Macaca mulatta: one gene and its partner. The protein of the gene in region 1 purifies or fractionates together with the protein of each later gene. This does not show direct contact. Links are inferred from orthologs where the notes say so. Each region holds a gene or a part of one and is shown in the gene's direction. Other genes may lie near its edges. The genes, in order: KIF5B and KLC4.

What was found.
Region 2: the proteins of KIF5B (region 1) and KLC4 purify together in Homo sapiens (affinity purification with mass spectrometry; 4 studies listed by BioGRID and IntAct, with this or other methods). This does not show direct contact. The link is inferred for Macaca mulatta from reciprocal best matches to the Homo sapiens genes KIF5B and KLC4.

Annotation. Positions count from the first base shown.
Region 1 is NC_133414.1:33,394,761-33,398,582, reverse strand, and holds part of KIF5B (kinesin-1 heavy chain), read left to right. Parts: intron 1-759; coding exon 760-864; intron 865-1,159; coding exon 1,160-1,305; intron 1,306-1,974; coding exon 1,975-2,123; intron 2,124-2,779; coding exon 2,780-2,973; intron 2,974-3,822. UniProt on the Homo sapiens protein: Microtubule-dependent motor required for normal distribution of mitochondria and lysosomes. Can induce formation of neurite-like membrane protrusions in non-neuronal cells in a ZFYVE27-dependent manner.
Region 2 is NC_133409.1:139,060,391-139,064,212, reverse strand, and holds part of KLC4 (kinesin light chain 4), read left to right. Parts: intron 1-1,045; coding exon 1,046-1,265; intron 1,266-1,732; coding exon 1,733-1,820; intron 1,821-3,822.

The DNA of each region.
Region 1 (3,822 bases):
TCTGCTTAGAATGATACATCTGTTCTGTTCTGTTGTGAAGTCTTATACACATCTTTCGAAGATTATCTAATGTTGAGAATTCTCCTAAGTTGTTTATTCAGCCAACATTGCTAATTTATTGGTCTGACCTATCTTTAACATAGATACTAGCTGGGCGTGGTGGCAAAAGCCTGTAATCCCAGCTACTGGGCAGGCTGAGGCAGGAGAATTGCTTGAACCCAGGAGGCGGAGGTTGCAGTAAGCCGGAATTGAGCCACTGTACTCCAGCCTGGGTGACAGAGTGAGACTCAGTCTCAGAAAAAAAAAAAAAAAGCCACACAACATAGATATTTAGATACTTTATTTTATTTTATTTTTTTTTAGAAGAAGCAGGTTTGCTTATATAATGAGTTTAAACTCAGTCTCTGTTTTCTAATAGTTACAACATCAACATTATGCATTAGCCAGTTTTAGAAGTTTCCTCTTTTCTAATGTAGCAAAGGGGACTAAGATTAATGAACTACAAATTTACATTTAAAGCGGTTATTTTCAAGAGTACCTACAAACTACAGATAAAATTTGATGTCTCTCTAATCAAACTCTTAAGAGTAGTACTCAAGAAATGGTGGTACCTAAGAGTAAATGCTTGGCAAATAAGATCATGAAGCTTTTCATGTTCTTTTTTCTTTTTTACTGGTTGTTGATGACCTCTGAAAATTTTAGAAAATTTAAAGAAAATTTTTGTAATTTTGTTCCGTTCTTTTGAAATCTTATGTATAGGTTAGTAAAACTGGAGCTGAAGGTGCTGTGCTGGATGAAGCTAAAAACATCAACAAGTCACTTTCTGCTCTTGGAAATGTCATTTCTGCTTTGGCTGAGGGTAGTGTGAGTATACATGTCTTCTATCTCCCTGTTACCTTACGGGGCATTATTTAAATATAGGTGTATATGTGTGCATGGGTGTTAGAGAGGGAGAGAGAGAGATTCACTGTGTTTCAATCAGTATGTGTAAGTTGTCTTTTGGGAGTTTATAATATTGTATGTATATCCTAGTTCACATTTTAATATCAAATAGTTAACTGAAATAACCTTTTAATTTATTTAAAGTAGCATATTTTTATAACATTTTATTGTACAGAAACCCACTGGTCTTGTTTTCTTTCTTTCTTTTTGTATGCAGACATATGTTCCATATCGAGATAGTAAAATGACAAGAATCCTTCAAGATTCATTAGGTGGCAACTGTAGAACCACTATTGTAATTTGCTGCTCTCCATCATCATACAATGAATCTGAAACAAAATCTACACTCTTATTTGGCCAAAGGTTTGTTGTTAAGAAAGTACAAAACCTAAATGTAGATAGACCTTTTGTTTATAAAATGTAGGAAAATGTGAGCTGTTATTCCAACCTGTACATATTGTTTTGTGCTAGACACACTCAATTTGAATTGATGACAGATAATACAAGATGGGCCTGTTTTTGATACTGCTTGGTTTAAGTTTTAGTACACATTAAAGTCAGATGTAATTTTAGTCAAATTTATGTGACAAGCTGTAATTTGGTATTAAAGAAAATAAGCATTTGACTCAAATAATGTTGTAAAAGCCTGGCAAACATAATCCTGTGTTAGGCCTGTAGACATGCATGACAGGTTAACATCTATATGAGTTGATTAGGAAAATCAGTAATGATGATTCCGTCTTTGACTTTCAACAGTAATTTCTTAATTCAGCCTTGCAAACAAATTGGAAAAATATAGGTCTTTGTCTTTTATTTTTAGTGATTTTTTTTTTTAAGCTATTGACGGATTTTGGAGCAGACTCAAATTTAGTTGGGTTGTAAATAACCTCATAGGTTGTGTCTTTTAGTATTTAGTCTAAGAGATTATTGGAGAAGAATAAATTTCTTAGCCATATATACATATATTCCATATAGATAAAATTAAAAATAATTTCAGTCTCATCCCTTTTTTCCTCCAATTACATCTCTTAGGGCCAAAACAATTAAGAACACAGTTTGTGTCAATGTGGAATTAACTGCAGAACAGTGGAAAAAGAAGTATGAAAAAGAAAAAGAAAAAAATAAGATCCTGCGGAACACCATTCAGTGGCTTGAAAATGAACTCAACAGATGGCGTAATGGTAATAACTTAAGAATTTGTCATCTTAAGTTTGTTAAATACAGATTTAGAGCATAGAAACGTAGAAATAGTTCAGCAAAATCAGTAAGTGACTAGATCAAGAAATTTAATAGACATCGAAATAATTATTTAAAATCTAATAGAAATCCTGGAGCTGAAAAATAAAATGAGCAAAATGCAGTAGAGACCATCAGTAGTAGAATTAATTGACCAGAAGAAAGCATCTGAACTTGAAGACAGATTATTTGAAAATAACACAATCAGAGAATAAAAAGTTTAAAAGAACGACGCTGAGTGCAGTGGCTTATGCCTGTAATCCCAGCACTTTGGGAAGCCGAGGTGGGCAGGTCACCTGAGGTCAGGAGTTAGAGACCAGCCTGGCCAACATGGTGAAACCCCATCTCAACTGAAAAGACCAAAATTAGCCTGGCATGGTGCTGGGCAGCTGTAATCCCAGCTAATGAGAAGTCTGAGGCAATAGAATTGGTTGAACCCTGGAGGCAGAGGTTGCAGTGAGCCTAGATTGCACCACTGTACTCCAGCCAGGGTGACAGATTGAGACTCCGTCTCCAAAAAAAAAAAAATTTTTTTGAAGGAATGAAATTGAAATTAGTTTTAGACATGTTGTTTCTTATTAACCACTTTATCATATTTTAGGGGAGACGGTGCCTATTGATGAACAGTTTGACAAAGAGAAAGCCAATTTGGAAGCTTTCACAGTAGATAAAGATATTGCTATTACCAATGATAAACCAGCAACCACAATTGGAGTTATGGGAAATTTTACTGATGCTGAAAGAAGAAAGTGTGAAGAAGAAATTGCCAAATTATACAAACAGCTTGATGACAAGGTAGGTATTTCCCGATTTAGGTCTGTTTTATATTAGGATACTATTGACATGAGTGTTTTTATTTTCTAATTTTTCATATTTTAGTGCTGTGGGCACTTAGGATCTTTATACATATTCCTTGATTTCTGTTAATCTTGTAAAAATTATTAACAAAATAAGTCATAATTTCTATGTGGAAACTGTATGAGGGTGTATCTTTTTTTCCCCTCTTTTTAAGCTGAAAGAATTTTATAAGGCAGCAGTCCCCAGCCTTATTGGCACCAGGGACTGGTTTCAGGGAAGACAATTTTTCCATGGACCAGGGTGGGGGAGATGGTTTTGGGATGAAACTTCCACCTTGGATTATCAGGCATTAGATTCTCATAAGGAACCTGTAACCTAGATCTCTTGCATGCACAGTTCGTAATAGAGTTCACACTCTTAATGATATTCTAATGCCGCTGTTCTGTCAGAAGGCGGAGCTTAAGTGGCAATGCTTGCTGCACACCTCCTGCTGTGCGTCCCGGGTCCTAACAGGCTTCCAGTACTGCTCTGTGGCCTGGGGACTGGGGGACCCCTGTTCTAATGAAAACTTGGCATTGGGTCATTGGGAGCCTTAGTGATACCAACTGTTAGAATCAGGGCTCTGAAGATTCCAATAAAAGATGATGTAGGAGATTAAGGGAAACACAATAGAGTGGAAATACTATCTTCCTGCTTTGCATATGGAAGTAAAGTCAATAGTATGAATAATAGCAAATTAAGAACATAAGAATGGAAGGCAAGAAGAAGAGCAGTAAAGAAATTAGGCTGGGTGCGGTGGCTGAAGCCTGTAATCCCAGCACTTTGGGAGGCCGAGATGGGCGGATC
Region 2 (3,822 bases), on another chromosome or scaffold:
GTTTTGTTTTTTTGTTTTTTTGAGACGGAGTCTCGCTCTGTCGCCCAGGCTGGAGTGCAGTGGCGCGATCTCGGCTCACTGCAAGCTCCGCCTCCTGGGTTCCCGCCATTCTCCTGCCTCAGCCTCCTGAGTAGCTGGGACTACAGGCGCCCGCCACCGCGCCCGGCTAATTTTTTGTATTTTTAGTAGAGACGGGGTTTCACCGTGGTCTCAATCTCCTGACCTTGTGATCCGCCCGCCTCGGCCTCCCAAAGTGCTGGGATTACAGGCGTGAGCCACCGCGCCCGGCCACAAACATGTATTAAACACTGAGTATGTGCCAGGTACTGTGCTAGGCACTAGGAGTACTGAGATGGAAATGGCATAGGTCTCACCAGTAAGGAGTTCACAGTCTAGTGGGAGAATAAACCTGAGATGGGGAGACCATGAGCCCCTCAAGGGAAAGAACCAGGTTTTTTTTTTTGTTTTTTTTTTTTTTTTTTTTTTGAGACAGTCTCAATCTGTCTCGCAGGCTAGAGTGCAGTGGGCCAATCTCGGCTCACTACAACCTCCACCTCCTGGATTCAAGTGATTCTCCTGCCTCAGCCTCCCGAGTAGCTGAAACTACAGGTGTCCACCACCACACCCGGCTAATTTTTGTATTTTTAGTAGAGACAGGGTTTCACCATATTGGCCAGGCTGGTCTCGAACTCCTGACCTCATGATCCACCTGCCTCGGCCTCCCAAAGTGCTGGGATTACAGGTGTGAGCCACTGCACCTGGCCAGAACCAGGTCTTTCTTACCTTTGTACTCCTGGGACATCCCTTGGTTCATATTTATTAAATAAATGTTTGTTGAATGAATGAATTACTGGGTGAATAACTGAGGTTGTGATGGGCACAGGTCAAGGGAGTGAATAAAAGAATAGTGCTTGAGGCAGGTCTAATATTGAGAGCCCATGTTGGGGCAGGCATAGGTATGGAACAAGACGTGCAATGGGGAACGGAAGGGCAGACAGCAAAGGAGAGAGGAAGAGTCCTTTGTTTATTTTCTGTGATGGTTTAGTGTCCCGTGGTCAAGGTACTGCAGCAGCTCAGCAGGGTGGATATGAGATCCCAGCAAGGTTGCGGACGTTGCACAACCTGGTGATCCAGTACGCAGCCCAAGGTCGCTATGAGGTGGCCGTGCCACTCTGTAAGCAGGCACTGGAGGACCTGGAGCGCACATCAGGCCGTGGCCACCCTGATGTTGCCACCATGCTCAACATCCTTGCTTTGGTGTATCGGTGAGGACTTCCCTCCTCCAGTGCCCAGATCTTCCCCTACATTCCCACCTTGGTCCTCCTTTGGCTTTCATTTTTCCTCTTTACAGGGTACCTGTCCTGCCTGTTGGGCCTCCCAGATACACCCCACTCGGGTGCTTCTTAATGTGCCAGAACTCTCACTTTTCCCATACCTAAGCATTTGCTCATTCTTTGGGATCACTGTTCCTCTAATCTCTTTTGGGGCGTGCTCTCTCCCTCTCTTCCCCCTGTCCTCTCACTTCCTATAACTTGTGGCCTCCTCTTGCGATGGCAGTGCCCTGCATTCTGGTATGTCAGTGAAGCCCCCTTACTGTCCACACCAGGCTTCCTGTCTCCTCATGGAGGTCCCCAGTCCTTAAATGTACTCAGTCCTCCCAAAGGGAAAGAGGGAAGAAGAAGGCTTGCAGGCAGAGTTCAGGGTAACTCCTGTCACTTTTGTCTTCTTCCAGGGACCAGAATAAGTATAAGGAAGCTGCCCACCTGCTGAATGATGCCCTCAGCATCCGGGAGAGCACCCTGGGCCCTGATCATCCTGCTGTCAGTATTCCTTGCCCTCCCTGCCCCACACTCCACACCCCACACCCCATACCATTGCTGTTTTGGCCTCTCTTAGCTCATCCATCTGCTGCCCTCAGTCCACTCACTAAGGGTGATGAGAAAGGAGGAGTAAGAAGTCCTTTCTTCCAGGCACTGTCCAGTGATCCTAGTGCTTAATTCTCTGAGACTCAGTGACTCCTTTTTATAACGAGTATTTTGCTTGAACTTAATTCATAGATAAGTCATAGGTAAATCCATATATGATTTCTAAAAAAGTTAATATGCTACTTTAGTAAATATAAAAGAAAAAAAGTAATTTATAAGAACAATATATACAATGTAATATAATAAGATAAAAATACAAAACAACAGTAACTGTATTGAGTACAACTTTGTTAAAAGAAATAGCAAAGTGGCCTGGGCGCAGTGGCTCACGCCTGTAATCCCAACACTTTGGGAGGCTGAGGCAGGTAGATCACAGGGTCAGGAGTTTGAGACCTGCCTGACCAACATGGTGAAACTCAGTCTCTACTAAAAGTACAAAAATTAGTCGGGTGTGGTGCCACATGCCTGTAAATCACAGCTACTTGGGTGGCTGAGGCAGGAGAATCACCCAGGAGGTGAAGGTTGCAGTGAGCTGAGATCTCGCCATTGCACTCCAGCCTGGGCAACGGGGCGAGACCCCATCTCAAAAAAAAAAAAAAAAAAAATTGCAAAGTGGTCTGATATATAATGAATGATTCTGGATTTAGAAGACCAGTAAGCCATTCCATACGAGAAGTACTAGAAAAATGAGACAGCGGCTGGGTTCAGTGGCTCATGTCATGCATGTGATCCCAGCACTTTGGGAGGCCAAGGCAGGAGATCACTTGAGGCCAAGTATGGGAGACTAACCTGGGCAACATAGCGAGGCCCTGTCTCTACAAAAATTTAAAAATTTACTGGGCACCGTGGCGTGCACCTGTAGTCCCAGCTACTTGGGAGTCTAGGGTGGAAGGATCGCTTGAGTTCAGGAGTTTGAGGTTACAGTGAGCTATGATCATGCCACTGCACTCCAGTCTGTATAGCAGAGTGAGCACCTGTCTCTTTAAAAAAACACTGAAAATATAGGTGGACACTTTATTAAAGTACAGTATTATAAGAAATCACAAGGGTTGGGCATGGTGGCTCACGCCTGTAATCCCAGCACTTTGGGAGGCCAAGACAGGCGAATCACGAGGTCAGGAGTTCAAGACCATCCTGACATTGTGAAACCCCGTGTCTACTAAAAATACAAAAATTAGCTGGGCGTGGTGGCGGGCGCTTGTAATCCCAGCTACTCGGGAGGCTGAGGCAGGAGAATCTCTTGAAACCAGAAGGTGGAGGTTGCAGTGAGGGGAGATCGAGATTGAGATCATGCCACTGCACTCCAGCCTGGGCAACAAGAGTGAAACTCTGTCTCAAAAAAAAGAAATGACAGACCAGATTTATTTGTGTGTAAGAGAAAGAGACTGGGCACAGTGGCTCGTGCCTGTAATTCCAGCACTTTGGGAGGCCAAGGCAGGTGGATCACCTGAGGTCAGGAGTTTCAGACCAGCCTGGCCAACATGGTGAAACCCCATCTCTACTAAAAATATATATATAAAATTAGCCGGGCATGGTGGCATATGCCTGTAATCCCAACTATTTGGAGGCTGAGGCAGGAGAATCATTTGAATCTGGGGGGTGGAGGTTACAGTGAGCCAAGATCACACCATTGCACTCCAGCCTGCGCAACACAGCAAGACTCCATCTCAACAAAATAAAAAGCGGCCCAGTGCTGTGGCTCACTCCTGTAATTCCGGCACTTTGGGAGACCAAGGTGGTCGGATCACCTGAGGTCAGGAGTTTGAAACCAGCCTGACCAACAAGGTGAAACCCTTTCTCTACTAATAATACAAAAATTAGCCAGGTGTGGCAGCATGCACCTGTAGTCCCAGCTACTTGGGAGGCTGAGACAGGAGAATTGCTTGAACCTAGGAGG